Mus musculus: one gene and its partners. The protein of the gene in region 6 binds, or shares a complex with, the protein of the main gene of each other region. Links are inferred from orthologs where the notes say so. Each region holds a gene or a part of one and is shown on either strand. Other genes may lie near its edges.

Region 1 (2,431 bases), on a different chromosome or scaffold from region 6:
TTAACAAGATATCCTGGGGCATCAAAAGCATGCTAGAGAATTTGTACTGTAGTCAAAGTCTGCATATGCGTGCCCATCTCTTACAGGGCAAAGCTCAAAAATAAATCCCTTCAGCTAGCTGTTCCAAGACCTGTGCTGAGAGGGTCCTGCAGGTGAGAGCTTGTCTGTAGGTACCTGGAATAGTACCACAGCTGGGTGTGTCCACAGGTAAAAGGAAGGGGGAGGTGCAAATGCCCAGTCTTCCCTTTCATTTACCTTTCCTCGGTAACTAACTTGGTTTTAATCTGAGACTTTGATATGAGGAATGTGAAGGAGGGAGGAGAAGACCCTGGAGATGCTGCCCTTACTCACCACCATGCCAATGTTGTTCTGTTGCCCACTGGTTGCCATCTCCACACACTCGTCAATCACAAGGTTCATAAAGGGATCAAAGCCCCGCAGTATTCCTTGGACATGCCTGCCACCGTTTAACTTCACTGTAAGAGAAAGAAGAAGTCTCAGTAAACCAAGTTCAACCATCCATCATAGATCAGGTGGGATGTGTGACCACCACTCCTACTATCTGCCTAACCATGGGCTAATTCTATCCTAATATTCCAGTTCTTCTTTGCCTATATCTTAGCCTTTAAGACCCTGGAGACATTACCTGTGAGTCTCATGGCTGTAATCCCAGCACTTGGCAACAACAGAGGAGGGCTGCTTCAAGAGGACTGTGAGACCAGACAGGGTCACATAACGAGATCTGGTCTCAATGACTGTCCCCCCCCCCCCAAGTAAAACCGCCTCAACATTTATACATAAATGTATTTGTAAGTAAATTTATACGTAAAGTAGTATCTTTACACAAATGAACCAGTTACAAGAGTTTAGAGCTGTTGAATGGTAGAGAAGAGAAATCCTAAAATTTCAGTATACTTCAATTGCATGGGTCAGGAGGTTTCTAGTTAAACCTACACATCCACAAGAAACATCAAGTGCTGCTTGTCCAACTCCCTGGTAACATATTTAAAGGAAAGGGGCTGATAAAGTTTTAAATATTATAACGTAGGACACTGCTAATTCAAGGCCAGGGAGGCACAGATAATGTAATTAAAGATAATGCAATTAGAAGGCAAAGAAAAAAAGTCTAATTAGAACTCTGACAAATCTGATTAGTGGAGAAGAATTAGATGTCTTATATATTAAATTTCTATAACACATTTCCAAAGATTACATATTGCCAAGACAACAAAAAGAAACCAAGTAGTTAGCTGAGGTGGATGCAAACTTACATGATAACTTCTTGTCCATAAACCTGGAAAAGCAAGAGCAAAAATTAGGACTTATGTAAAAAGTTCTAAGCACAAACAAGCACAGAATCAGTAAAATTAAAGTGATTTGCTTGGGCTGGGATGAGATGTTAGGAGGGTTCGATGTTCCTCCAGAGGGCCTGAGATCTCTTTCTAATATCCATGTCAGGTGACTCACCACCTCCTGCAACTTTAGCTTGAGGGTACCCCAGGGCACCTACACTCAAATGCACACACCCTCACATACAAAATAAAATGTCTTTTTGAGACATAGGGTTTTTCTATGTAGCCCTGGCTATCCTGGAACTCACTGTGTAGACCAGGCTGGCCTTCAACTCCCCAGTGTGGAAAATTAAAGGTGTGCCACCAGGCAAAGTTAAGTCTTTTTCCTTTTCTTAAATTGCTAAAATCTGGGCTGGTGAGATGACTCAGTGGGTAAGAACATTTGCTGCCAAGTCTGATTTTGATTCCCAGAACTCACTGCTGGAAGCAGAGAATGAATTCTTTAAGATGTCCTGACTTCCATACCTGGCATATGTACACACTTACACAACCAATGTAAAAATCCAAACCAAACCAAACCTACAATTTGTACCCCAGACACATAACATTTAAAGCAGTAAGGATCTTGTACTGTTTGGATATGAGTGTGTGTGTACCAGGGCAGTTGTCATCAGATACCCTAAAGCTGCCATAGGCAGTTGTGATTTGCCCAGTGCAGATGCTGGGAACTGAACTCAGGTCCCTTAACTGCCAAGTTATCTTCCCAGCCTCAAATCCGGAACTGTTGACATGGGCTAGGGAACTTACACTAATGTAATTACAAAGATTTGGTTACATTTGTGTGTGTTATTACAGAGATCTCTGTTATTACAGAGATTAGAGAGATAGCTCAGAGGTTGAGTGCACTGACTGCTCTTCCAGAGGTCCTGAGTTCAATTCCCAGCAACCATATGGTGTCTCACAACCATCTGTAATGGGGATTTGGCATCCTCTTCTGTCATGCAGGCATACATGTAGGTAGAATATAATAAATAAAATAAATGTTTAAAAAAATTAAATTTGTTTGTATGGTGCCAATACAGAAGTCAGAGGACAACTTCAAGGAGTTGGTTCTCTCCTTCAACCATGTGGTCCCAGAG
Region 2 (4,251 bases), on a different chromosome or scaffold from region 6:
GGAGATTGCCAGAACTACCCGGGGGTCGCACAATCAATAAGGGACGCAGGAAAGTTCCCCAGAGACGCTGCGGATCCAGCTGCCCTACCACCAGCCGCAGCTTGGCTTCTGAAAGGCTTCCGATCAGCGGGACCTTGGTTGGGAAATGGGATGGGAAAAAGAAAAATGAAAACAACCCCATTCCCACCTTATCCTGGGCGCCGTTGCCTACTAGGAGTCCTGGCTCTTCCTGGTAATGCAAATCTCCAGCATCAAAGATTTCCTAGACTGGGAGAAATCTTCAAAGCAAATCTGGTCCAGCCTACCGCAGTCCTAACGAGGAAATTGCAATCGGGTGATGGAAATTTCTAAATAGATGGCTTGGGCATAGAACTCAGTTCTACCAGTGTTGCTATGAGGACTCGTCATCTTCAGTGGGGTCTATCACAAAACAAGCCTGAAGCCTTATTTTGTTGGGTAGGGGCACGCGCTCAAGTCATGGATAAATGGCACAGGCGGCAAAAGCCAAATGATAAGACCACGGTAACCTGAGACTCAATACGAAGGGAAAGAGGGAAATGACGCTGGCTGGGCACCAGCCAGGGCTCACCCGCAGATCCCGGCTCCGTGACATCTCCTCAACCCCAGGGTGCCAGCTGTTCCAGACGATATAGAAAGCCAAGCCCATAGCCAGCGCCAGCAGCAGCAGGGGCAGGAACTGCACTCGCGGCAGAAGACGGCGCTTGGAAAGTGAGGGTGGTTTCATGAGGCCACGATCCTCGAGCCGCTGCCGGGGCCGCCCGCGGCTCCCGGGACTCATGGTAGCTTTGCTCTGAAACCAATCCCGGTATGGTGGTTTGAGTTTTAGGCCAAGATCCGCCTCGCTGAGGTTACAAAACCCAATAAAGAAGCAGAGTAACTGCGTCCTTCCCTGAGACGATTGCGATTGGCTGTCCTAAGCGCCGCCCCACCCAAAAAGGAGGGCGGAAACCTTAAGGCCCGCCTCCACGGAAGAGGACCAGTCAATGGGCTGCGTCCGAATGTGCGAAACCTTCCAAGGCGCGGGGTCACGCCCCTCACGGAAGTCGATCAAGAAACTGTCGTTCAAGGAAAAAAGGGGCGGCATCCATCCCTAAAACAAGGAGCCGATTGGTTTACCTGAAGCCATGCCCTCAAGAAAAGTGTCCGAGGGTATTTGGAAATGGGGTTGTGTTTTCCATCTTCCAACTGGACGGTTTGACGGGAAAATAATTCTAGTCAGACCCCGTATTATTTTCCTCATGAGCAGACACCCTATTGTGATCCTCAGAAGCTTCAAATCCTCCTTATAGGCATTTTCTACAGGAGAGTGCAGCCTGAAGGGTCGCTATGGTAACAGGCCACGCCCACAGCCGCTGGTATTTGGTTGCGCAGGCGCCGACGGAAGTGAGCCGCAGGAGACGGAAGTCCCGCCCTTCTCGCCCTGTACGCCAAAGGCTGGAGCAACGCGCTTGGAGGCGGGAGTGATCTGCGAGCGAAACCTACACCATGTGAGGCCGGGCTGGGCTTTGGCGGGGCCGTGGAGATGGAGGTGGACAGTTTAGCTGAATAACGGTCGAAATGGGGTGTTTTTATAGCTGAGGGTAGAGTTCCTCGGGCAAAAGTAATGTTTTTCCTTCTGGGGTATTTGAGATCGGGCTTGGGGCCTCGCTCGGATCTTGAGTTCCGGAGAGGGGACAGCTTTATTCCATAACGGGCATGAGACTCTCCGAGGTCCTGAGTCTTGTGGAAAGGAACCATAAAGGGAAAGCTGAGTCTGATGGCACATGCCTGGAATCCCAGGCCTCGAGAGGCTGATGCAGGAGGTTCGCTAGTTGGCCTTGGCCAGCTTCATAGCGAGACCGCTTCCAAAAGTAATAGTAATTTTAAATGGAAGTGGTCTTATGAATAAAGAGCTTGGCGGGGAAGGAAGAACTGTTAGAAATAGTGAAAAGTATGGGACGTAACCAGGATAAATTAGAGAACCTAACTAGAGACTGTCAGAGTAGCAGGGTACTACAGTGGTTTGGTGCGTGTTTATTCATTGAGCATATACTATGTAGACTGCTTGTAAGTTAAGACACATGGTAAATAAAAGGTCCTTGCCTCCAAGGGGGTGGGGGAATCTCCCTGGTGCTTGTAAAAAGAGTGGAGTAGGAAAGCCATAGAGTAATAAATAGGTACATACACCTTAGATAATCAGGTTTGGATGGAGAATTGAGCAGGAAAGATATAATGCCAGTAGGTAGCACAGTAGGATGCATTGAAAGCCCAGTTCTTGGGATGCAGATTTAGCTCAGTGGACAGAGTACTTACCTACTGTGGGTACTGGGTTTGGTCCTTAACCACACACAAACTAGACATAGTGGCACGTGCCTGTACTCCCAATACTCAGGAGGCAGAGACAAGTCTGAGTTCTGGGGCAGCCAGGCTTCTACAGTGAGATGTTGTGGGGTGGGGCGGAGGTTCATGGAGAGAGATGATTGAAGTTTAGGTTGCGGATAGAAAGGGCCAAGGTTTGGATGTACCATGGTGGCAGATGACAAGATATAAGGATAGAGTAAGGTTTGAAAGAAGAATCAACTGCCAGGCATGATGGTGAGCCTCTGTCATCTCAGACCTTAGGCAGTGGAGTCAGGAGAATTGAGAATTCAAGGTCAGCGGTGGGTGGAAGAGGTTAGGTAGATGAGCCGGGGCAGGCTACCATGGAAATGTCTCTCCTGCCTCCAGAAAAGACTGCACCAGAAAGGGGGCTGGGGAGACACTGGACAGTGTGGCTTTGATCACGTACATTTCCAACTTGAACCCATCTCACCCCTGGGTTCTCTATCCAGGAGTCTCCTCAATAAACCCAAGAGTGAGATGACCCCAGAGGAGCTGCAGAAGCGGGAGGAGGAGGAATTCAACACAGGTCCCCTCTCAGTGCTCACGCAGTCGGTCAAGAACAACACGCAAGTGCTCATTAACTGTCGCAACAACAAGAAGCTGCTGGGCCGGGTGAAGGCCTTTGACAGGTGAGTGCTGTCTTGGGGAGGGCTGGGTCTGGGTCCGAGGGGCCTGAAGGAAAGGTCATTCCAGAAGGATAATAAGGTGGGCACACACGGTGACAAAGCACCTTTAATCTCAGCACTCGGGGAATCACTATGAGTTGGAGGCCAGCCAGTGTCTCATGGCACGACCTAGCTCAAAAATGTAGAAAGTGGCGATGCTTAACCTTTTTATAATACATATCTTACGTGTTTAGGTGTTTTGTCTGCATATGAGTCTGTATGCTATGGACATGTCTAGTAGTTATCAGAATCCCCTGGCAGGAAATTGGACTGGAATTTCGATATTTGATTTGTTTATCTGTAGACCAGACATCAGTGTCAAATATCTTGTATTGCTTTGTAGTTTGTTTTGAGACAGGGTCTTTACTATGTAGCTCGAACTGGCTACAGATGTGGCAGAGGCTAACCTTACACTTCTAATCCTCCTGCTCCCATCTCCCGAGCGCTGGGATTACAGGATTGCATGAAGCATGCCGTCCTGCTTTATTGTTTTAGTTAGCATGGGACTTGCCTTGTGACTTAGCCATACACATCTGGCACTGTACTTTGCTCTTATTCACTGTCCTCAAGCAAGCATTTGTGGAAAGAACTGATCCAAGTGTGAACAATGGCCACCCGGCCCCATGAGGACAGGACTGTGCAGCACTGGAGTGCGCGTGTTGGGAGCCGTGTCTAACCCCAGCACCCTAAGACCCTCTGGAGGGAGCAAGTGCTTCTCTCCTGCTGTTTCTCTCAGAGTTAGAGTTAACGCCAGAGCCAGGGCCATTTTGGTGGGCTTTACTCTGCTGGGTCCTGAGTTCTTTATTCATCCAATCTTCACACCAGCCCTATGAAATAGACTGTCTCCATTTCATGAAGGGGGAAACTGAGGCACAGAAGGGACACTATAAAGTGAAATCACTTTGCAGCCTGCCCATCCCCACTGTGGAGCCTGGGCTTTCCTTATGCCTGCTGCTGGAGAGTTCACACAGTGCCAGGCAAAGGTGGGCACTCGGAATGCCCCCCCTTACTCCAGCTTCCCCCCCCACCCCTACCCCATCAGGCACTGCAACATGGTGCTGGAAAATGTGAAGGAGATGTGGACTGAGGTTCCCAAGAGCGGCAAGGGCAAGAAGAAATCCAAGCCTGTCAACAAGGACCGCTACATCTCCAAGATGTTCCTGCGCGGGGACTCGGTCATCGTGGTGCTGCGGAACCCACTCAT
Region 3 (3,500 bases), on a different chromosome or scaffold from region 6:
CCCCCAAAACATACAAAAACACCTACAACACAGAAAAGGCTCAAGACCACAGCCCTTGTCCACCCTCTAACCCTTAGAATACTGAGCATGAGCAATGTGGCAAACAAAGTGGGGCTTGTCCGTCACTCATCCTGAGCTTTTCCAAGTTTATGGGAAGGAGTTGGGAGAAACCCAAGCCTTGAAATACCGAGCTCAGGAGCTGAAGCACGAGTTGCTTGCTACTCCCTGTGACTGCAGAGTGAGAGCAAGGGTGGAGGGACCTTAGACTCTGGACAAAGCCTACTGTGGCCCCCAGGCTCTATCCCCATGACCTAGGAGGTAGTGCACGAGTTGGAGTCAGCCTAGCTAGGAAGTGAGACTCTGTCTCAAAAAGTAGGAAAAAATAAATATAAAAAAGAAAAAGAAAAAAAAAAAGGAAACGAAAACCAGAAAGGGTCAAGGTCAGGCAGAAGAGAAAACAAAAATATAGGAAATAGACTCACCTGTCCACTCCATCCCAGCGATACCCAGGCCAAATGTTGAATCTATTGGGAGGAGGAGCAGGACCACTGTAGCGGGGCTTCACTAAAGACAGGAATGAGAAAAAAGAAATTAGCTACTGACACAATTTAATTCAGAGCTAGATGGCTATGGGAGAAAATTCTTCATGGAAGTTCCTATTATTTTGATTCAAACTTCCAAACACAAGGGCATTACAGTAGTGTGGGGCAGCCCTCTGACAACTCTCAGTCACCTCCAGCTCCAGCAACCCCAAGTCTCACCTTTCTTATTCTTGTTCTCCTTAGCTTTATTCTTCTTAATAAAGTTGGCCATCGGGTCCCCTTCTCTTTCTTGTTCTCTCAGCATCCGATCCAGATCTTCATCATCTATGTAGCGGGCCAGAGGCTTCTGCATCTCCTTCATTGCATCTTCTACATTCTGTTGCTGCTGCCGGCTCTGGGCAAGCCTGGGCAAAAAAGAAGCATCCTGCTTGAGAATTCTCTCCTATACTGAGAGCCCACAGCGCTGCCCTGGAGGACTCCCTCTTTGTAGCAGCCCCAGAATCCGGACGGGTAGCTTGAACCAACCATCTCAGGAGACTGTGCACCTGAGGCTCGCCCCGTATCAGCTCCCAGAAATGCAAGGCAGAGGCTGGCTCAGGTCTTGCAGTCTAGCTTTGTGCTCAGGGGCGCCCTTACCCTTTCCCCCACTGGGCATATAGCTCATCTCGCTCTGAGTCTTTCTCTGCTTTTCTCCTCTGTTCCAAGCGCTCTAGCTTCAAATTCCTCTTCCGACCAGACTTGTCTCGAAATACAGTTTCAGTGAATTCAAACTGTGCTATGAAGGAAAAAACACATTTTAAAGATACACACCAGGCATCACAGTCAGAAATCACATTCTAGCACTAGAAACCAACTGCTTGGGATCTTTTGCTGAAAGAACTCTGCAGACAGACCATCCTACCAGCACTCTTTCACATACTGGGAAGGAAAGGAGTGCTTGTACTACTGAGGTAAGGTACATAAAAGCAAGGAAGTTTCCGATAGCAAATACAAGCCACATTAACAACAGAAAAGAGAGCTATAGGACCTTCAGTGGCCCCTGCAAGCTCACAATTGTACCTCCGAGGTCTGTGGTGTCCTGGTCTTGTTTCTTGAGTTCCTGGTGCTCCCGCTGAACATCAGTGACCAACCCAGTTTTTGCTCCGGAATACATGTGTGCAGTCTGTGCAAGAGAAAAGGAATACATGTGTACAGCCTATGCAAGGGGAATACACGTGTGCAGTCTGTGCAAGAGAAGAGGCAACAGCAACACCATTTTTCCAGGAGGCAGATAGCTGCTCCAGTGCCTGACTGTTAGCTATAACCAAACCAAAACCTCTAGTTTTATATTCTCAGTATTGACCACAAACAGGGCTCACAACATAGAATGGGAAATATCTAATCTCATAGAACACTTTATGGTATCAAATTTTAAAGTAAACAGAAACACAAACATGGGGCACATAGAAGGGAGTAAGAATTTGCATGACTTCTCTTTTTTTTTTTTTTTTTTAAAAAAAAAAGATAGAGTCCCCTACAGCACAGGCTGGCTTTGAACTCACTTATGCACATTTTAAAAAGCAAAAAGCTGACATTTAGAGGAATATAATTTCTCGTCCAATCCCACAGATACTAAGTAGCAGAAGTAGAATTTACAGCTATTATTGGTTTCACAGGGTTCTGCACTTCTAACTGCACTTTATAATCTGTAAGCCTCAATTTACTGTTAGGAAAACAGGTGGTGCCAGCCTGTATATCTATCAACAGGTGGGAAGAGGCAGATGGGTCAGAAGTTCAAGGCCAGCCTTGGAGTACACTCAAAACAACAAAGACAAGACACTGAGATGAGACTGGTGGCATTACAAGGCTCTGAGAGGCAGCTGGGCACTCCTGATCCAAAACCAGAAATGCACAATAGTCCAAAATCTACAACATTCTGAGCACCATTTGGGTGCAGAAGCACAGCCTTCAAACTCCAACACTCTGGTTCCCAAGCTTCACTGAGGCCCAGCTAAGACGAGTTCCACCCATGTCACCGTCAGAGAAAGTTCCAGAAATGCTTCTAACTCCAACTTCCTGTACCACTTTCTCATTCTCTGCTGGAGGAGTCACCCTGATAAAGAAAGACACAACTCCTGGAAACCTACCTTCTTGCCAGGACGGGGACTCCTTCGAGGTGGAGAGAGGTCAGAATCAGAGGATTTGGTCCTCTGTCTTCTCCGGGGTGGAGAGAGGTCGGAGTCAGAGCTCTGCCGCCTTGGTCTGTTCCGTGGTGGTGACAGATCTGAATCAGAATCCTGGTGCCCCGAATTTTTTTTTTTCCGTGGAGGAGAAAGATCTGAATCAGAGGCTTTTTGGTAGACACCTAAGTAGAAAAGAACAAAAGCGTCTATGAAATCTCCTGTGTCTAAGAGAATCTAGGGATTAAAGAATGAATTAAGGATGGGGATGGTTCAGCAGTAAAATGCCTGCCTAGTACGTCAGACCTGGGTTTGGTCCTCAGCACAGGAGAGAAGGGGAGGACCATTAATCTCCTTAGGAGATTGCTTAAAAGAACTTACCATGCTGGGCACGGTGTCTTTTTAGCCATCCTATGAAATAACATGACTAACCAAAACACAGGCACAAGTGACACAGAGAAGAACAAAGGCGGGGGCTTGGTTTCCTGGCTACCAGTGTCTGGTGACTTTGAAAAGCGTATGAGATCTCAGACACAGTCTCTCACTGCCACCCTCTTCAGAACTGGCATCAGAAATGAGTTGGCCCGTGCGGTGTGGCAGAGTCAGGAAGACCTGGACTATATGCTGATCTCCCCAGACTCAAGAAAACAAAGTAATTTCATTTTAAGATTAAAACTATAGCTAAAACAAATGATGAAGTAAAACAAAACCCTTTCTGCAGGGGCCTGTTCTAGATGACAGTGTCACCAGTCACCTCCTGAAAAGCCACTATATAGCAGGTACTAGGTAGTAGCAACAG
Region 4 (3,934 bases), on a different chromosome or scaffold from region 6:
TGCGCTCATGGCGACTCAGCTCCACGTCCCCAAACAGGACCTCCTCATCAGCCAGTTCCGCCTCCAGGTCCTCCAGTTTTTCTCGCTCCCGCTTCGCCAGGTATTCCCGACGAGACTTCTTACGGAGCTCAGGGACCTGGGTCAGGAAGGGACAGTCAAGTCCTCATCCTACCAGCACTGAAACCCTGCTCCCTGCACACTCAGAGTGTGCAAAACTCCAAAGAGGAGGATGTGGGGCCTTTTGGTGCTAGCTATTTTGTGTCTCATCAAGTCTCAGAGACACAATGACTTGATCTTACCAAGGCGAGAGGATTTGTAACTTTCTCCTTCTACAACCCAAGTCCACTCTTTTCCGGTTCCTGTCAGGCAGGCCCCTCTCCTCTAGAGCCTGACCACCCAGACACATCTCTGCACACTCCCTCTGTGACCCTTCCTGCTACGGCCGACCACTCCAGCCATCTTTGTCTTCAGACACTGCTTTTTGAACCCAGGGTCTCACCATGGCTTTCCGATCTTCCTCAGCCATCTTGAGGCGCTTCTGAGCCTCTTCATAGGCCTAGAAGAAATCATGTAAAGGGATGTGAGGCCAAAGGTACCATTGCTGTCAGGATGACTAATGTCCTTCGCTGCCCCTCCTCGGTGGAGAACCTCTGTCGATCTCAACCAGACAGGGAGAACCATAGCCAGTGAGCCCACGGGGAACCCTAGTGACAACTCTTGTCTTCCCAGAGACAACTCTGCAGCCAAATCCAGACTTGCCTGACTGACTCTCTTCAGCTCACCTTCTTATCTGACCGTTCCAGGACATTCCGGGTCCGGTCCTTGTCCCGTTGCCGAACCCGCTCTGCAAAGGCATCCCGTTCTTCCAAGTCCTGGAGACGCTCACGCTCCGTCCTTTCCCATTCATCCTCTGAGGCTGGCTTCTCCTCCGTGGGTGATTTACTCCCCCTGAACCCAGCAAACCCAGCCCAGTGTATCAAACGGGGGTACTGAGAAAGCTTAGCATCCCCACAGCCGACAGCCTGCTCCAATCCCTCTCCTTCCTTCTGACTTACCCTGCCTTCCTCTTCCCTGACTCGGAAACCTCTTCCTCCTCGTCCTCCTCGTCCTCCTGGTGTTTCTTCCTGAGGTGTTTCCGTCTCTTCCGCTTCTTCTGGAGGCTGCTCCCGTTACTACCCACTGCCTCCTCGCCGCTCTCGCTGTCTTCCAACAACTTATAAGAACGGTTTTTCTCTAGCAGGGCTCGGGCCTCTCGCTCAGCTGCCCGAGCTGGCTTTTCCACCACAGCCTTCCGTGGCACCTGCCGGTAGATATGACAGCTCCTGACCTCAGTACCCTCATTTGCCTACGAACCGGTTACTATATCTAAAGCCTGTCTCCATCTTTCTCTTCTTCGTGGTCTTGTTCTACGGTCATAGCTCAACAGGGCTCCGCAGCTTCTGAACGTCCTTCTAGGAATCCACTGAGCAAATGATTACTGAAAGCCATCCCGTGGTGGAGGCAAAGAACCAGCTCTCACAGGTTGTACGCTCACAGCCTCACACGGGCATATGCACGAACTAAAACTTCTTCCTAACTTTAATGACTTACTTTTATTTTTATGTGCACTGGTGTTCTGCCTGCAACGTGAGCTGTGTGTGAGGGTGCTGAATCTCATAGAACTGGAGTTACAGTTGTGAGTTGCCACGTGGGTTCTAGAAATTGAACCTGGTTCCTCTAGAGGAACAGCAAGTGGTCTTAATCCCTGAGCCATCTCTTCTTGCCCCACGATAGAATTTTTTTTTTAAAGTATTGGTTCTGAGCTTAAGTAGTTTATGTTCTAAAACCCATTTTCTTTTCATGATTTATTTTTCATTTATTTATGTGTATGGGGTACCTGGCAAAGGCCAGAAGCCCTCCGATCTCCTTGGAGCTGGAATTACAGATGGTTGTGTGCCACTAGGCCTGGTTGCTGAGAACTGAACTCAAGTCTTCCAGATGCACAAGGGGTCTTAACTGCTAAGCCATCCCTCCCCAGCCTCGATCCTATTTCCTAAATGCTAATTCTCCTAGCTCTGTTCTCAGTGACTCTTTCCCAGGGCTGGGGATTGAATCCAAGGCTTACTGTATGCTAGACAAACATTCTACCAACTGAGCTACATCCTTAGGCCTGGGGTATGTGCTGTAACTAACAATGGCTCTAGCTTAAACATGTATGTAGAGCCCCATCTCGAGTCTTCTCCACAGACCTGTATACACCCAACACCTAGCATGATATCTAGATAACAGAGGAAAAAAATTAAATGGTGGGCGGAACCAAGAATGAAAGGTCTCTCTGTCACCCCACTACCAGGGAGGCTCGCTGCAAGTTCTAAGCCAGCCTGTGTACTATATTGAAAGTTGCAGGCTATCACAGAATAGACAGCCACACTGCGTACGAGCCAATTCGGCTGTGAGTGGCCTGCCCCGGCGGCACACACCTTGCTCCAGAGCTTCAGGGCGAAGTCCCGCGCCGGCCCCCCGAGGTCCAGGGTGTCGGTGTCCCGCAGGCGCTGCACGAACTCCTCGGCGGAGGCGCAGCGCTGTGCGGTGCCGATCAGGAACTGCGCGACGTGCCGCTCGCTCAGCCCCAGCACCGAGTGCAGCTCCTCCTGCACCCACCGCTCCAGCCCCGCCGGCGTCGCCATGGCGACGCGTCCTGCTCCGGGCGCGCAACCGCGGAACGGCCAGGACTGCGGCGGGGACAGAGCCTGCGGTACTACCGCCTCGCTCCGGCTGCCGTAGAGACTCCAATTCCACAGACCGCGAAACCCGGAAAGAGTCGCGCTCTTCCGGCCAGGGATCGACGGTGGCTGGGCGGGTTCAAATCGCGCAGCCTCTTTCCCGACGCTAAGTGCAAGAGGCTTTCATGCACAGCCTCGTCCAAGCTCTCCGTCGCCCCCTAATGATCTGTGCGCGGGTGCAGTTCTCTATCAATACAAGCTGTCAGTGATGACTAACTAGTTCCCACAGCTGGGATAAATAAAAGACGTACAAATCAGGGTTAGGAAAACAAGATATATAACAAAGGGCTGGAGAGACGGCTCAGCGAAGTCGAGTTCGATTCGGTGCACCCACATCCCTCACCAACAACCACGTATATCTCCAGATCCAGGAGGATCTACCACCTCTGGTCTCTTCTGACACCTGCACTTGTGTGCACGTGCTCATACACAAACACACATACACCTAATTTTTTTAAAAATAAATTTTTTTTTTTTGGTTTTTCGAGACAGGGTTTCTCTGTCTTGGAACTCACTTTGTAGACCAGGCTGGCCTCGAACTCGGAAATCTGCCTGCCTCTGCCTCCCGAGTGCTGGGATTAAAGGCGTGCACCACCACGCCCGGCCTAACTTAAAATATTAAAAATTAAAACAACAAAAACTAAAGGTACATAATAAATACATTTAGGTGGGAGTTTGGGTATCATAAGATTTTAATATTTATTTATTTAATGTGCATGTGGGTTTGCCTGCATGAATTTATCTGCACAGTATGTGTGTGTGTGTGTGTGGTGTGTGTGTGTGTGTGTGTGTGTGTGCCCTTTTAGGTCAGAGATATTGTGTCTCTCTGAACTTGGAGTTACTGGTGGTTGGGACCTGCCTGATATAGGTGCTGGGAACCAAACACCAGTCTTCTGAGAGCAGCAAGTGCTCTTAACCACTGAATCATCTCTCCAGCCCCTCTATTGGGTGTGTGTGTGTGTGTGTGTGTGTGTGTGTGTGTGTGTGTGTAGGCATTTTACTTGCAAGTATGTATACCACTCAGAATCTGGAGGAGGGCATTGGATCTCCTGAAAATGTAGTTAGGGGTGTTTTTGAGACATCACGTGAGTGCTGGGAGTTAAACCTAAGTGTTCTTAATTGAGAAGCCAGCTCTCCAGTTCACCATTTAAAAAACAAAAACAAAAAACAAA
Region 5 (3,500 bases), on a different chromosome or scaffold from region 6:
GTCAAATCAGATATTGATCAAATTTGTTATTTTGGAAAATAAAGGTAGGAAAATACAACAAAACCAAATAATTACAAAGTTTTAGTTCCTCCAAATAATTTCCTATCAAGTGTTGGTCTCTCAATTAAATTATCTCAATTTAAAAAAAAAAAAAGAAAAAAAAAAAAGACCTCACCTCTTTAAGTTTCCTCCGAATTAAGGTTGCCGTTGTATTCAAGGAGTCGTCCTGCAGATCTACTGTGGGGATACCTGGTAACTTAGGTCCAATCAAAACCTCGTTACTGCTTGTGTGTGTCTCAAGCAGAGTTCCCAGTTCTCGATCACAGTCTCGCCGCCGTTTCCTCTCCTGCAGCTGTGTTGTCCTAGGCATGAACCTGCCAACTGCCTGTGAGGTAGCAATGGCCTCTTGCACACTAGAGCAAGGGACGGAGTTTTTGTAAGTGTTCATCTGCAGCTTTGGTGAAAAGGCACTGTGGTCACGATGCCTAGACAGTTCACCATGGTTCCTAGCACTATTACAGGAGTCTGATACTCTGTCCACATGTTCCCCACGTGAACATGTGCTCTTGGAAGCAAAACAGCTTAAAGGGAATTCACAAGAATAAGGAAGACAAGAACTCGAGTTCTCTGGAGGACTCTCAGGAGATGTGTTTAAAGCAGCTGTACCAAATCCAGGCATAGGTGGATGGAAACCTTGTCTAGAATCTTTTGTTCCTTTCTGCTCTGGAACTGGTTTCTTCTTCGCCATGTAACAATCTTAAAAGTCAAGTTTTAAAAGTTAAGGGAAAGAAATCGTTCATTAATCACTTTGATCATTCAGAATCTTGAGATTCTAAAAACAAACCTTACTATGCTAAGGCCCTCTACTCCCGAAACGGTACTTCTAGAGCAGGGACTGCACCGGGAAGACTTCAAGGCTTTCGGAAAGATCCCAGGCTACCACCAGGCTTCGCCTCCTCAGCACTCTAGAACGCCTCACTCTTCCTCTGGAGCCACTTGAGAGACAATAAAACTTATATTTTTACATTTTCCACTAACTGTAATCTTAGAGTCTCCACGCCATTGCATAGAAAGCTTCTACAGTTCCAGGGTATCCTACTAGAACCATGTTTACTTCATCCTTGTGCCAAGAGAAACTCAGATGGACATGTGGGCCACCCAACTATAACAACTGGAAGTTTCCCATGATGAGCAGCATGTAGAACCAGTCTGTAAACCATAACTGCTTCTTGCTGCCTTAATGTTAAAGCCTGGCCACAAGTTCCATGATTTGTTGCCTGTCTACTTTCCTAATCTCACTCACTAAAACCTCGGGACCTTGGTTACTCTGTAGGACTTGCAGCTCCTTAGACGTATGGTGGCGATTCATCTGTCTAAGTGTTTGACATGTAGCCTGCCTTACCTTGCCATCCTTTTAACCCCACTTCTGAATACCATTTACTACTATTCAACTATCTCTCACATCCCAGAGGCAATCTCAATGAAGCAACACCTCTCCCTTCCCAGCCGAGATTCTACAGGGGTGCACAGAGCAAAGACTGTGACTGGGCAGGAATTCCACAGTGACACACATTCCTAGCAGTGCCTGATACACAGGAGGTGTTAACACACACTTTCCATACCTTGGTTTTTAGTAACTCTTGTAATATAAGCCTTTCTTTCTTGTAATTTTTTTCTAGTTTCTTCAACTGTCTCAAATTCTGGAGCGTAGCACACATGAAGTAACCCTCCAAAGAAGCTCTGTTCATCCATCTTTTTCTTAGCTACCCTAGAAAGAAAGAAATACATAACATCAAGAGAACTCTAAAGAAATGCATAAGTTATATTGCTTAAAAACACAATTATTTTTACTACTTTTATTTCTGTGTGTGTGTCTGTATGTGGGTGTGTGTACATGAGTACAGTTGCCTGAGGAAGCCAGAGGTGATAGATTCCCTGGGACTGGAGTTTCAGACAGTTGAGTCCCCTGACCTGGGTGCTGGGAACCACACTCCAAATCTGAGTCCTCGGGAATAGCAATAAGTGCTCTTAGCTTTTGAGTCATCTCTCCAGCCCCCAGATGCATGGCTCCACCACCCACCCCAACCCCAAGACAGGGCCTCACTATATAGATCTGGCTGTTCTGAAACTTACTCTGTAGATCAGGGTGGCCTCAAATTCAGAGGCCTGCCTCTGGCTCCCAAGTGCTAGGATTAAAAGCATACACCACTGCATCCAGAAAAATTTATTTTTTTAAATTATTTTTAGTTATGTATAAGTATGTTTGGAGGCTCTAGCCTGGAGCTAGAGTTAGACACTTGGCCTGGTTGATGGGATGACTCAGGTCCTGTAGAGAAGTAGTATATGCTCTTATCGCTGAGACATCTCTCCGGCCATGGCATTTAAAATAAAGATTTACCTAAGATAAAAGATTAACAAATGATGCATAGTTTGTTTTAAGAAGCAAAGGGTGTGTACGTACGTATGTGTTGGGAATCCTGGGAAAGATGCTTGGTTTTTTGAATGACTCCACTGACCCAGAAAGTACTCTTTAAGAAAAAGATTTATCTGTTTGTTTATTTTTATGTAAGTGTGTTTATACATATGGGGCCAGGGGCCAGGTGCCCACAGAGACCTGAAGAGGCCATTAGATCCAGCGGAGCTATAGGCTGCTGTGAGCCACCTGATAAGGGTGCTAGACATGAACTCCAATTCTCTGGAAGAGCAGCAAGCTATCTTAAGCACTGAGACATCTCTCCAGCACCAAGAAATGAGTCTTCCCTTTCCCTCTCCTAATAATGGAATACGTTTTCAGCTAAGCTGGACACACTTACCTAGGCTTTTTGTTTTTTTTAACTAACTTGGGATCCTACTGGTTAGCCTGAGTTACAGAACTTGAGTAAAATGTGTAACTTTGGGCTTGTCACCAAGACTGGTGACCTGAGTTCAGTCTCTGGAACTCACACGGTAGGAAAGAACTATCTCTTGTACACAAGCCATGGCATGCCCTCCTAGATACACATATATGAATAAATGAAAATATTGAATACAGAACAACTAATCAGTGCAAAGATAAAGAGTGTGTTCCTTCTGGGGCTGGAGAGCTATAGCTAAGGGGTGAAGAGCACTGCTGCTCTCCCAGAGGGTCCAGGTTGTTCCCAGCCTGGCAACTTCACAACTGTCTGTAACTCCAGTCTCAGGGGAAAATGCCCCCGTCTGCTCTGCAGGGGCCTGAATGCATAGGGCATAAAAGTTCACATAACCATACCACATACACATAAAGAGAAATAAATAATGTTTAAAATAAGAAATACTGAACACTTATGCTGAGTCGAGCACTGTAGTAATTAAGTACTTCTGTATCTACAGATAATCACTAATGTTTATTGAGCTATTACCCCATGCAAAGCCACAAGTGTGTCACTTAAATTGGTATCTCATAACCATCTCATGATGAAACCAAGGCACCAGGAAATTCTGGATCATATTTATACATTCATTTATAAAACTAGGATTCAATT
Region 6 (3,500 bases):
TTAACTGCTCTATTCATGCATAAATGAGGCAGTCACTGAAAACGTGTCTAGTTTTAATGTTAACTATCAACAGCAAGAAAAAACAAACTAACCGGTTAAAAGCCCAAACCCAACCAGCTTTGACACGAAGAATGTGCCCAATTGTAAAGTAATTTCGAGGGCCAAGCTATACACTACAGTTCCAGCCCAACCACAGACAGTCAGAACTATTAACGAAGGCTGTTACCGAGGGGAAGTCTCTTTCTGGCGCTTTCGAGGTGATGGAGAGGCACTCCGAGAAGGGGAATGTCTCCGCCGCCTGCCTACCTCACCGTTCTTTACATGGGATCTCTTGGGCCGCTCATCTTCTGAGGTGGAAGAGGAGCCAGAGTCTGTAATCACAGAGCAAAGAACAACAACAAAATATCACACACTCACACACTCACACACACACTCACTCACTGCCCCCTGTAGTACCCCTTGGGCCCTTACACTGCATGCTCAAGGTCCTGGGTTCTACACCCAGCACTGGGAAAAACGTTTCTTAGAGGTTAAGACTCAATGACTCCACGTTTACTTAGTATGGATGGCATGAAGCCATGGGTTCAATTCTCAGTACCATCAGGACAACCTACACTTTTTATTTATTATTTATATGAGTACACTGTAGCTGTCTCAGACACACTAGAAGAGGGTATTAGATCCCAGTACAGATGGTTCGGAGCCACCATGTGGTTGCTGGGATTTGAACTCAGGACCTCTAGAAGAGCAACAGTCAGTGCTCTCTCTTAACCTCTGAGCCATCTCTCCAGCCCCCATCAGGACAATCTAATCAGTACAATTTTAGTGACAGTCAACAGTCCACACCTAGCAGAAAACTAGCAAATATAAGACTAGTATATCTCAAAAGTACTAAGGCCTGCACGGATCTCTTAGGAAAAAAATCCAGGGATGTAAAATCAGGCTCATTGGTGTATGTGCACATCTGATGACAGGGAGGTGAAGGACGGAGAATATGAAGTCCAACATGAGCCTCGCAACAAAACTCTAGTGAATTCTTTCCCAATTAATAAGGTAAGGCTTCAAAAGAACCTCAGGGCTGACGGTCAAATTCACTGGAAAAGCCCAACCCAGCATGTGTTGCACATCAGCAGCAAGAAAGCAACAAAAAAGTATCAATATGCCACTTGAACCAGAAAATAATTACAACTATAACCTGAGCGATGAGGGTGTGGCTGTGAGTAGAGAGCTTGCCTCAGCACATGGGAGACCCTGGGAATCAAACCCCAGTACTGCATAAACTGAGTCCAGTGGTGCAAAGCTCAACTCTCAACACTTAGGTGGAGTCAAAAAGACTACAAGTATAAGGTCATTTTTGGCTACAAAGCAAGTTCAGGGCAAGCCTGGACTACATGGGACATTTTCTTAAAACCCAAAACCAAACTAAAGCCACACAAAACCCAAGTAAGTAACACAAGAACAGAGCCCCTGGCTTAAACATTAGGCTTCTGTGCTCTTTCTTTTTAATCAAACAATCAGAACTACAGTGAGTTCCAGGCTAGCCCAACTACATAGTGAGGCCAAACAAAAACAAAACACAACCAAATAGCTACTAGTAATAAATGAAGTAGATTCATAAAAAACTAGTATGATCATCTAAACCAGAGACTCCTAATTATATAGAACAAAGTTGCAGAAAGGCTTAGGAGTAGACTCAAATATTAGGGAATAAATTAGTCTTTCCAATTTCATTTTCTGTTTTACTATTGTACTCTACGCCAACTACCTTTTGTTTTGTTTGTTTTTTTTTTGAGACAGGGTTTCTCTGTGTAGCCCTGGCTGTCATGGAACTCACTCTGTAGACCAGGCTGGGCTCAAATTCAAGAGACCTGCCTGCCTCTGTCTCCCAAGTGTTAGAATCAAAGGTTTGTACCACCAACGCTTGGGTCCAATTATGTTATATTTAATAATGTTGGGAATAGAGCCCAGAGCTGTGCACGCAGTACGCTGTACTCTACCAGAGCCATGTTCCTAGCCAGATTTATTACCTTCCTAACAATACAGCAATTTAAAAGCAAAATTTAAGGGCTTAAAACAAGAAAGAAATACCCAGTGCCCAACTGAGACCTATGGCCCAAACACAACCCATGAAGGCAAACGGTTCAATTTCCAGCACCCACATGATGGCTCACAACGTCTCTAATTCCAGATTCTCACTGGATCTGATACCCTGTCTTCTGGTCTCCTTGGGGACCAGATGTAAACATGGTGCAGACATGCATGCAAGTGAAATACAAACAGGCATAACATTGCAAAATGGGGGCGGGGTGGAGTGGGGGGAGAGCCCCAGGGTCTCATTAGTCCAGGCTGGTCTCAAATGTACAATGTAGCCAAGAACAACAGAGCTTTCCCCCTCCTGCCTCCACCTTCTGAACCACAGGATCTCAGGCTTCTTCCGCTTTGCTCTTCTGGGGACTCTCACTATGCAGCCCTTACTGGCCTCACACTCTACAGGAATTCTCCTGCCTTAGCCTCCCAGTGCTGGGTTACCACAGGTGTGAGAGTGGAAGGCGCTCATTCGCTTGTTGTCCATACCAGATGAAGACTGCTGGTTCTGCCGTCGGTATTGTCTTCTCTGCTGCACAGAATCAGCTGCAGCCATTTTGCTGCCTTTGTCTTCTTCTGAAAGATGGGTGCATTTAGACAGTGTTTCTTTAGTTACACACAGGTAATGTGACACACAACACAAGGCATCAGCCCAGTCCATAAGATAGGAATGCTATAAACATCCCAGCCAGCTGTCCAAACCCAAAATTTTGTCCAAATACAGAAGAAAAAGAATGAGGTCCTGGACGAATAACCAAACAGCGCACACTTAAATGCCACAGCTGGGAATTGCAGAAAGTCTGTGTGACGTCACCTTCAGCTCTTCCCTACTGGGTGCCCTGGACAATCAATCCCCAACCCCAGGGAATAATCACACACGGAAGGAAAAACAGAAAACCAACCTCTAGAAAATCATTACAACTTACCAGACTCAGACAGCTCCACTTTTCTAGGCTTGGGTGCTGGAGAAGGTGACTCTCTTTTCTCAGTACCTTTATGTTTTGTCACTAAAAAAGAAGAAAAATAAACCTCACACAATAAAAAGAACAATTTTTTTGTTTTGTTTTGTTTGTTTTGTTTTCCAGACAGGGTTTCTCTGTATAGCCCTGGCTGTCCTGCAACTCACTTTGTAGACCAGGCTGGCCTCGAACTCAGAAATCTGCCTGCCTCTGCCTCCTAAGTGCTGGGATTAAAGGCATGCGCCATCACTGCCCAGCAGAACAATGTTTTAATAGCACAAGAATGGGTTAGACTCCTCACATGAAAAAATTAACCTAAAATTTAAACATGGAAAGCTTCAAAAACTAGTTCTACAGGGCTAGCAAGAACCCTGCACCAGCTGGGCAGTGGTGGCACACGCCTTTAATCCTAGCTCTTAGAGGCAGAGGCCAGAGGCGCAGGGGCGCAGGGGCAGA
Region 7 (4,284 bases), on a different chromosome or scaffold from region 6:
CATTAGAATAATCTTTCCTTTCTTTAAGGTTTAGAATGCCATATGTAAAGGTGGAGGTATCAGAGCCTTGTTAAAGCTCATTAAGAGAAAGTTACTTCCTCTTGTTAAAAGAATGGATTCTGAGTTCTACCTCTGGCCCTAATGATGGAGACGTAATATTCTGATCAGCCTCAAAAGAGAATATTACATGTTGTCTCTTACCTTAAGAGTTCCATACTGCCTCTAACCACAACATTTGGGAGGCAGAGACAGGTGGATCTCTGTGAATTTCAGGCCAGCCCGCTCTACAAAGTGAATGCCAGGAGAGTCACAAGCTCTATAGTGAGACCACGTCTCAGGGGGAAAAAGAGAGTTCCATGCTTCTGAATTGGTAGAATAAATATTGTGAAAATGGGTATACTTCCAAAATTAATTTGCAGATTTCATGCAACACCTTTCAAAATTCTGATGTATTTCACAGGTTTAGAAAAATAACACAAGAATTGATATGGAACTACAAAAGACAATAGGTAGAAAAGAAATCCCAAGGAATAAGAACAATGCTGATAGCATTATAGGACCTGACCTCAAATTTTACTATAGACCTATAGTCATAAGGACAGCCTGGTATTGCTATAAAAGTAGACATTAATATCAATGAAATAGAATAAGAGAATCCAGAATAAAATGCCAAAGCTATTCCTATTTAATTTTTGACAAAGGAAGCAAAAACATATATTGGGAAAAAAATAACCTACTTAAGAAATATGCTGGAAAAACTGAATTTCTATCTGAAGAAGACAGAAATTATGTGAGTGCAAGTGCCCACAGAGGCCAGAGGAGGATCTTCTGAAGTTGGAGTTGTGAGCCACCTGTTTTGGGTGCAGGTTCTCTGGAAAAAAATCAGCAAATGGTCTTAACCACTGAGCCACCTCTCTAGACCTTCAAGCTAATTTTTTTGAAGCTCAGTTTTTTTCCTCTGTAAAATGGGGATGGTAACTGTATTTCATGGGGTTGTTGGGCGGTCAGCCTGGTCTACAGAGCGAGTTCCAAGACAGCTAAGGCTACACAAGGAAACAAACAAGAGATTGAATGAAAAATGCAAATGGCAGAAAGTGAGCCGCCCCCTGGGAGGCAGAGGTTTAGGGTAGGGGCAGGGTGAGGAGTGCTGGGAGGAGCCAATGGTGTGAGCCTTAGCCTGGGGTTTGAGATCTAACAGAGATAACGTGCATAAATTGTCTCTCATTCACAACCTTTAAGTTCTCTAACTCTTTAGTTGATAGGTACTAGTTTGACAATGCTAATTTTTGCCTGCTTGTTTATACGTGGGCATTTAATTCCGACTGGCAGAGGAACACAGGGTCCCCCCATCGCTCTCCATCAAAAAGGGGGCGGGGACTGACTTGGGAACTGTCCCTCCACAGGAGCGAATGCCTGAGAAAGCACCTTCACCTTACTGCGCAGGCGCCAGGGCTTAGCGGGCCGGAACTTCCGGCGGAAGTTCCGCCTCGCGGGCCCCGTGCTCCAATCTGAGCTGGGTGTTCGGGTCGCGGGAGCGCTTTGGAGCCTCACCCGGAAGCTGTTGTCGTCTGAAGCGAGCCGCGCGAAGATGCGAATATGAAGTAAGGATTCTGTTTCTCTGCGGATAGGGGCGGGAGTGTTCTCCGCGGAAGGGAGAGTGGCTTGAGGATGGCCGCCCAGAAAGGGCGGGGACCGGTCCTCGCCCTCCGGGCCTCCGGGCGGGAGAAGCTCGGTAGGGAGAGGGCGGGCTGGGAGGAAAAGTACTTATCGCACTTACCGGCTTGCCTGCCACCCGCGCAGCCCTCTGACTAAGGTGAAGCTGATCAATGAACTGAATGAGCGAGAGGTTCAACTTGGAGTGGCGGAAAAGGTGTCTTGGCACTCGGAATACAAGCACAGCGCCTGGATCTTTGTTGGTGAGGTCCCCATTTTTCTCCAGCAGTGCCTTTCAGAGTCCGCCCCGTCCCTTCCCCTCCCCTCCCCATCCCTCTCCATCCCTCTCCCCTCCCCTCCCCTCCTCATCCCTCTCCTCTCCTCTCTCCACCCCTTCCCCTCTCCTCCCTATGCCCCCTCCCCCGGTTATTTAGTGCCCCTGGTCATCGCTTCTGAACAAGCTCATCACCTCACACTCTGGAAGCTCCTCTGCTCACAGGTCCACTTTTCAGTTGCCTTCAGCGCTTCTTAGAATTGGTATTTGCCTTTCATTCTATTCAAAACCTTGCTACTTGGCTGCTCAGAGACAGTTCATTCCACAGTCAACCTATCACGATGTCAAAGAAACGGAGGCGCAGACAGGTTACTGGACTTGCTTAAGGTCACATGCTGCAGCACTTCAAAACTGTGGGGCTTGTGCTCTTCGTCACGGTCACATACCGATCGTGTGTGTGTCTGCCCTTCCTCACAATGATTTTTCTCCTCTCCTGGGCTTCTGCTCCTAGTCCTTAGCTGTACCGTGATGTACCTGGTCAGACATTAGCTGGATTTGAAGACATTAAGGCTTGATTCAAAATTAGCTTTACTCCGGCTGAACATTTGAAAGGCCACCTGAAAATGTGACAGGATCAGGGAAAGCTACTTCTGATGAAAAGAATAGAGTCTGGAGTACACCCCTGGCCCTGGGTAGATACCAGGACATTTTCAGGAAACCTACATGTTACATACTAGTGTGCCCCTTCCTTCAGACATAATCCAACAGAGCTTTAAGTCATCTGGCCAGTAGACACCTGTCAGGAAAGCTCAGTCACCGCCAGACACGCTAGGGACACGGGAGGGAAATGATCCCCAGTGCAGGTGGTGCTGATGTCCGCCCTAAGTCTACCTGCTGCTCTGAGGCCTCGCTGAGCCCCACCTCTCCCTTTCTTTCTGTTCTCTGGGTGCTGGCGGAAATCCTGAGCCTGCTTGCCCCTAACACGCTGGGCTTTCTCATCTCACATCTAAATGTTTTCCTGTCCCTTTGCGGCTACTGCTCTGTCCCCATTTTTGTGCACTCCTGCTTGCTCCACCTCCTAATTCTGAAGGCATGGCTGCCAACCCTTCTGTAGCTCCCTCCTCCCTCCTCCTCCCGGTAGCTGGCGAATCTTACACCTTGCCTCCCTATCAGCTCTCCCTCAAATGCTAACACAATGGACCTCAAGCTTGCCCTTTAGTCTGTTTTAGAATTATTTTACCAAGATTAGAGACTGAGAGCCTTTGTAAAAGGGGAACTCTTGAGTCTCTGGGGACAATATTACCTTTCGTGTATTCTCTTTATGTCACAACCAAAATCCCGCAGTTTGCCTTTTGAAGGGATTGTGTTAAGCACTTTATATGCCTCATTTTAGTTTATTTCCATAATACTCCTGTGAGGCAAATATGTTAACGTCCCCTTTTTGCATATGAAGGAGAACATTGAGGAACATGTGAAAGGCTTCCTGTGAACCGCTTAGCACTTTCCTTGATACATCCTAGTTTGCACGTGGGGGGCAGTAACAGTGTATTGAAGTCAGTGTTTATGAAATCTGAGTCTTGTGCTGGAAATCATGTGCTTTATAGGACTTTGGGTATGAAGACTCAATGATAAGATTAATTTGGTAATTTATGACCCTAGCCTTTCCCCTCAGAGTTAATTAGTTTTTTTCTTTTTCTTTTTTTCTTTTTGAGGCACAGTTTCGCTCTGAAACTCACTGTGTAGACCAGGCTTGCCTCGAACTCAAAGGGATCTGAGAGCTAATGACTTTTCTTCCAGACAACTGTCATCGTACCCACTCTGTCATTGTATTAGGCTGATAATTTCCAGATCAAGGCTTGTTTAATCTGCACCTCCAGTGTCTGGCCTAGTGCATAGCATGCAGTGAATGCTTGATTAATGCTTGTTAAACTGGAGAATGTGTGTTTTCTTCCAGGAGGGCTTCCTTATGAATTGACAGAAGGCGACATCATCTGTGTGTTCTCACAGTAAGTCCTCTGTTAGTTCCTATCTCCTGGATGCATGGAACAGTTTGCTTCCATAGTGTATTTTTGTAACAGCAACAAAGCATTTCAAGCTGGGTGTGGAGTTGTACACCTCTAATGCCACTAGACAAGTGCCTGAGATAGGAGGATCACTTGGGGTCTGCCTAGGCTCCATAATGCATTCCAGGTCAGCCTGCACAACTAAGTGAGATCCTGCGTCAAAAAGCCACCAAAGCTATTTTAATTCTAGGGATGTCTAATGACATCCCTCCATGGGGAAGGCTAGACCCTAGATCAGTCCCAGAGAGTTACCCCATGGGAGATCCCAGAGCTGAGATCGTTTGAGAGTCTGTC

The links.
Region 1: Srrm1 (region 6) and Snrpg share a complex: the UniProt entries of both Homo sapiens proteins name them as parts of the minor spliceosome. The link is inferred for Mus musculus from reciprocal best matches to the Homo sapiens genes SRRM1 and SNRPG.
Region 2: Srrm1 (region 6) and Snrpd2 share a complex: the UniProt entries of both Homo sapiens proteins name them as parts of the minor spliceosome. The link is inferred for Mus musculus from reciprocal best matches to the Homo sapiens genes SRRM1 and SNRPD2.
Region 3: Srrm1 (region 6) and Bud13 share a complex: the UniProt entries of both Homo sapiens proteins name them as parts of the minor spliceosome. The link is inferred for Mus musculus from reciprocal best matches to the Homo sapiens genes SRRM1 and BUD13.
Region 4: Srrm1 (region 6) and Dhx16 share a complex: the UniProt entries of both Homo sapiens proteins name them as parts of the minor spliceosome. The link is inferred for Mus musculus from reciprocal best matches to the Homo sapiens genes SRRM1 and DHX16.
Region 5: Srrm1 (region 6) and Rbm48 share a complex: the UniProt entries of both Homo sapiens proteins name them as parts of the minor spliceosome. The link is inferred for Mus musculus from reciprocal best matches to the Homo sapiens genes SRRM1 and RBM48.
Region 7: Srrm1 (region 6) and Rbmx2 share a complex: the UniProt entries of both Homo sapiens proteins name them as parts of the minor spliceosome. The link is inferred for Mus musculus from reciprocal best matches to the Homo sapiens genes SRRM1 and RBMX2.

The regions. Positions count from the first base shown.
Region 1 is NC_000072.6:86,374,540-86,376,970, reverse strand, and holds part of Snrpg (small nuclear ribonucleoprotein G), read right to left. Parts: intron 1,295-2,431; coding exon 1,272-1,294; intron 477-1,271; coding exon 352-476; intron 1-351. UniProt on the Homo sapiens protein: Plays a role in pre-mRNA splicing as a core component of the spliceosomal U1, U2, U4 and U5 small nuclear ribonucleoproteins (snRNPs), the building blocks of the spliceosome.
Region 2 is NC_000073.6:19,148,387-19,152,637, forward strand, and holds the start of Snrpd2 (small nuclear ribonucleoprotein Sm D2), read left to right. Parts: upstream 1-1,451; 5' UTR 1,452-1,506; coding exon 1,507-1,508; intron 1,509-2,831; coding exon 2,832-3,011; intron 3,012-4,089; coding exon 4,090-4,251. Other genes in the region: Qpctl (glutaminyl-peptide cyclotransferase-like protein), read right to left, coding at 1-133, 590-799. UniProt on the Homo sapiens protein: Plays a role in pre-mRNA splicing as a core component of the spliceosomal U1, U2, U4 and U5 small nuclear ribonucleoproteins (snRNPs), the building blocks of the spliceosome.
Region 3 is NC_000075.6:46,289,512-46,293,011, reverse strand, and holds part of Bud13 (BUD13 homolog), read right to left. Parts: intron 2,887-3,500; coding exon 2,669-2,886; intron 1,705-2,668; coding exon 1,602-1,704; intron 1,318-1,601; coding exon 1,179-1,317; intron 947-1,178; coding exon 762-946; intron 565-761; coding exon 483-564; intron 1-482. UniProt on the Homo sapiens protein: Involved in pre-mRNA splicing as component of the activated spliceosome. As a component of the minor spliceosome, involved in the splicing of U12-type introns in pre-mRNAs.
Region 4 is NC_000083.6:35,878,644-35,882,577, reverse strand, and holds the start of Dhx16 (pre-mRNA-splicing factor ATP-dependent RNA helicase DHX16), read right to left. Parts: upstream 2,801-3,934; 5' UTR 2,667-2,800; coding exon 2,460-2,666; intron 1,301-2,459; coding exon 1,056-1,300; intron 949-1,055; coding exon 783-948; intron 557-782; coding exon 500-556; intron 137-499; coding exon 1-136. UniProt on the Homo sapiens protein: Required for pre-mRNA splicing as a component of the spliceosome. Contributes to pre-mRNA splicing after spliceosome formation and prior to the first transesterification reaction.
Region 5 is NC_000071.6:3,590,048-3,593,547, forward strand, and holds part of Rbm48 (RNA-binding protein 48), read right to left. Parts: intron 1,769-3,500; coding exon 1,623-1,768; exon of another isoform or gene 757-1,622; coding exon 176-756; intron 1-175. UniProt on the Homo sapiens protein: As a component of the minor spliceosome, involved in the splicing of U12-type introns in pre-mRNAs.
Region 6 is NC_000070.6:135,329,147-135,332,646, forward strand, and holds part of Srrm1 (serine/arginine repetitive matrix protein 1), read right to left. Parts: intron 3,093-3,500; coding exon 3,012-3,092; intron 2,662-3,011; coding exon 2,575-2,661; intron 372-2,574; coding exon 227-371; intron 1-226. UniProt on the Homo sapiens protein: Part of pre- and post-splicing multiprotein mRNP complexes. As a component of the minor spliceosome, involved in the splicing of U12-type introns in pre-mRNAs. Involved in numerous pre-mRNA processing events.
Region 7 is NC_000086.7:48,693,520-48,697,803, forward strand, and holds the start of Rbmx2 (RNA-binding motif protein, X-linked 2), read left to right. Parts: upstream 1-1,484; 5' UTR 1,485-1,596; coding exon 1,597-1,601; intron 1,602-1,800; coding exon 1,801-1,916; intron 1,917-3,881; coding exon 3,882-3,933; intron 3,934-4,284. UniProt on the Homo sapiens protein: Involved in pre-mRNA splicing as component of the activated spliceosome. As a component of the minor spliceosome, involved in the splicing of U12-type introns in pre-mRNAs.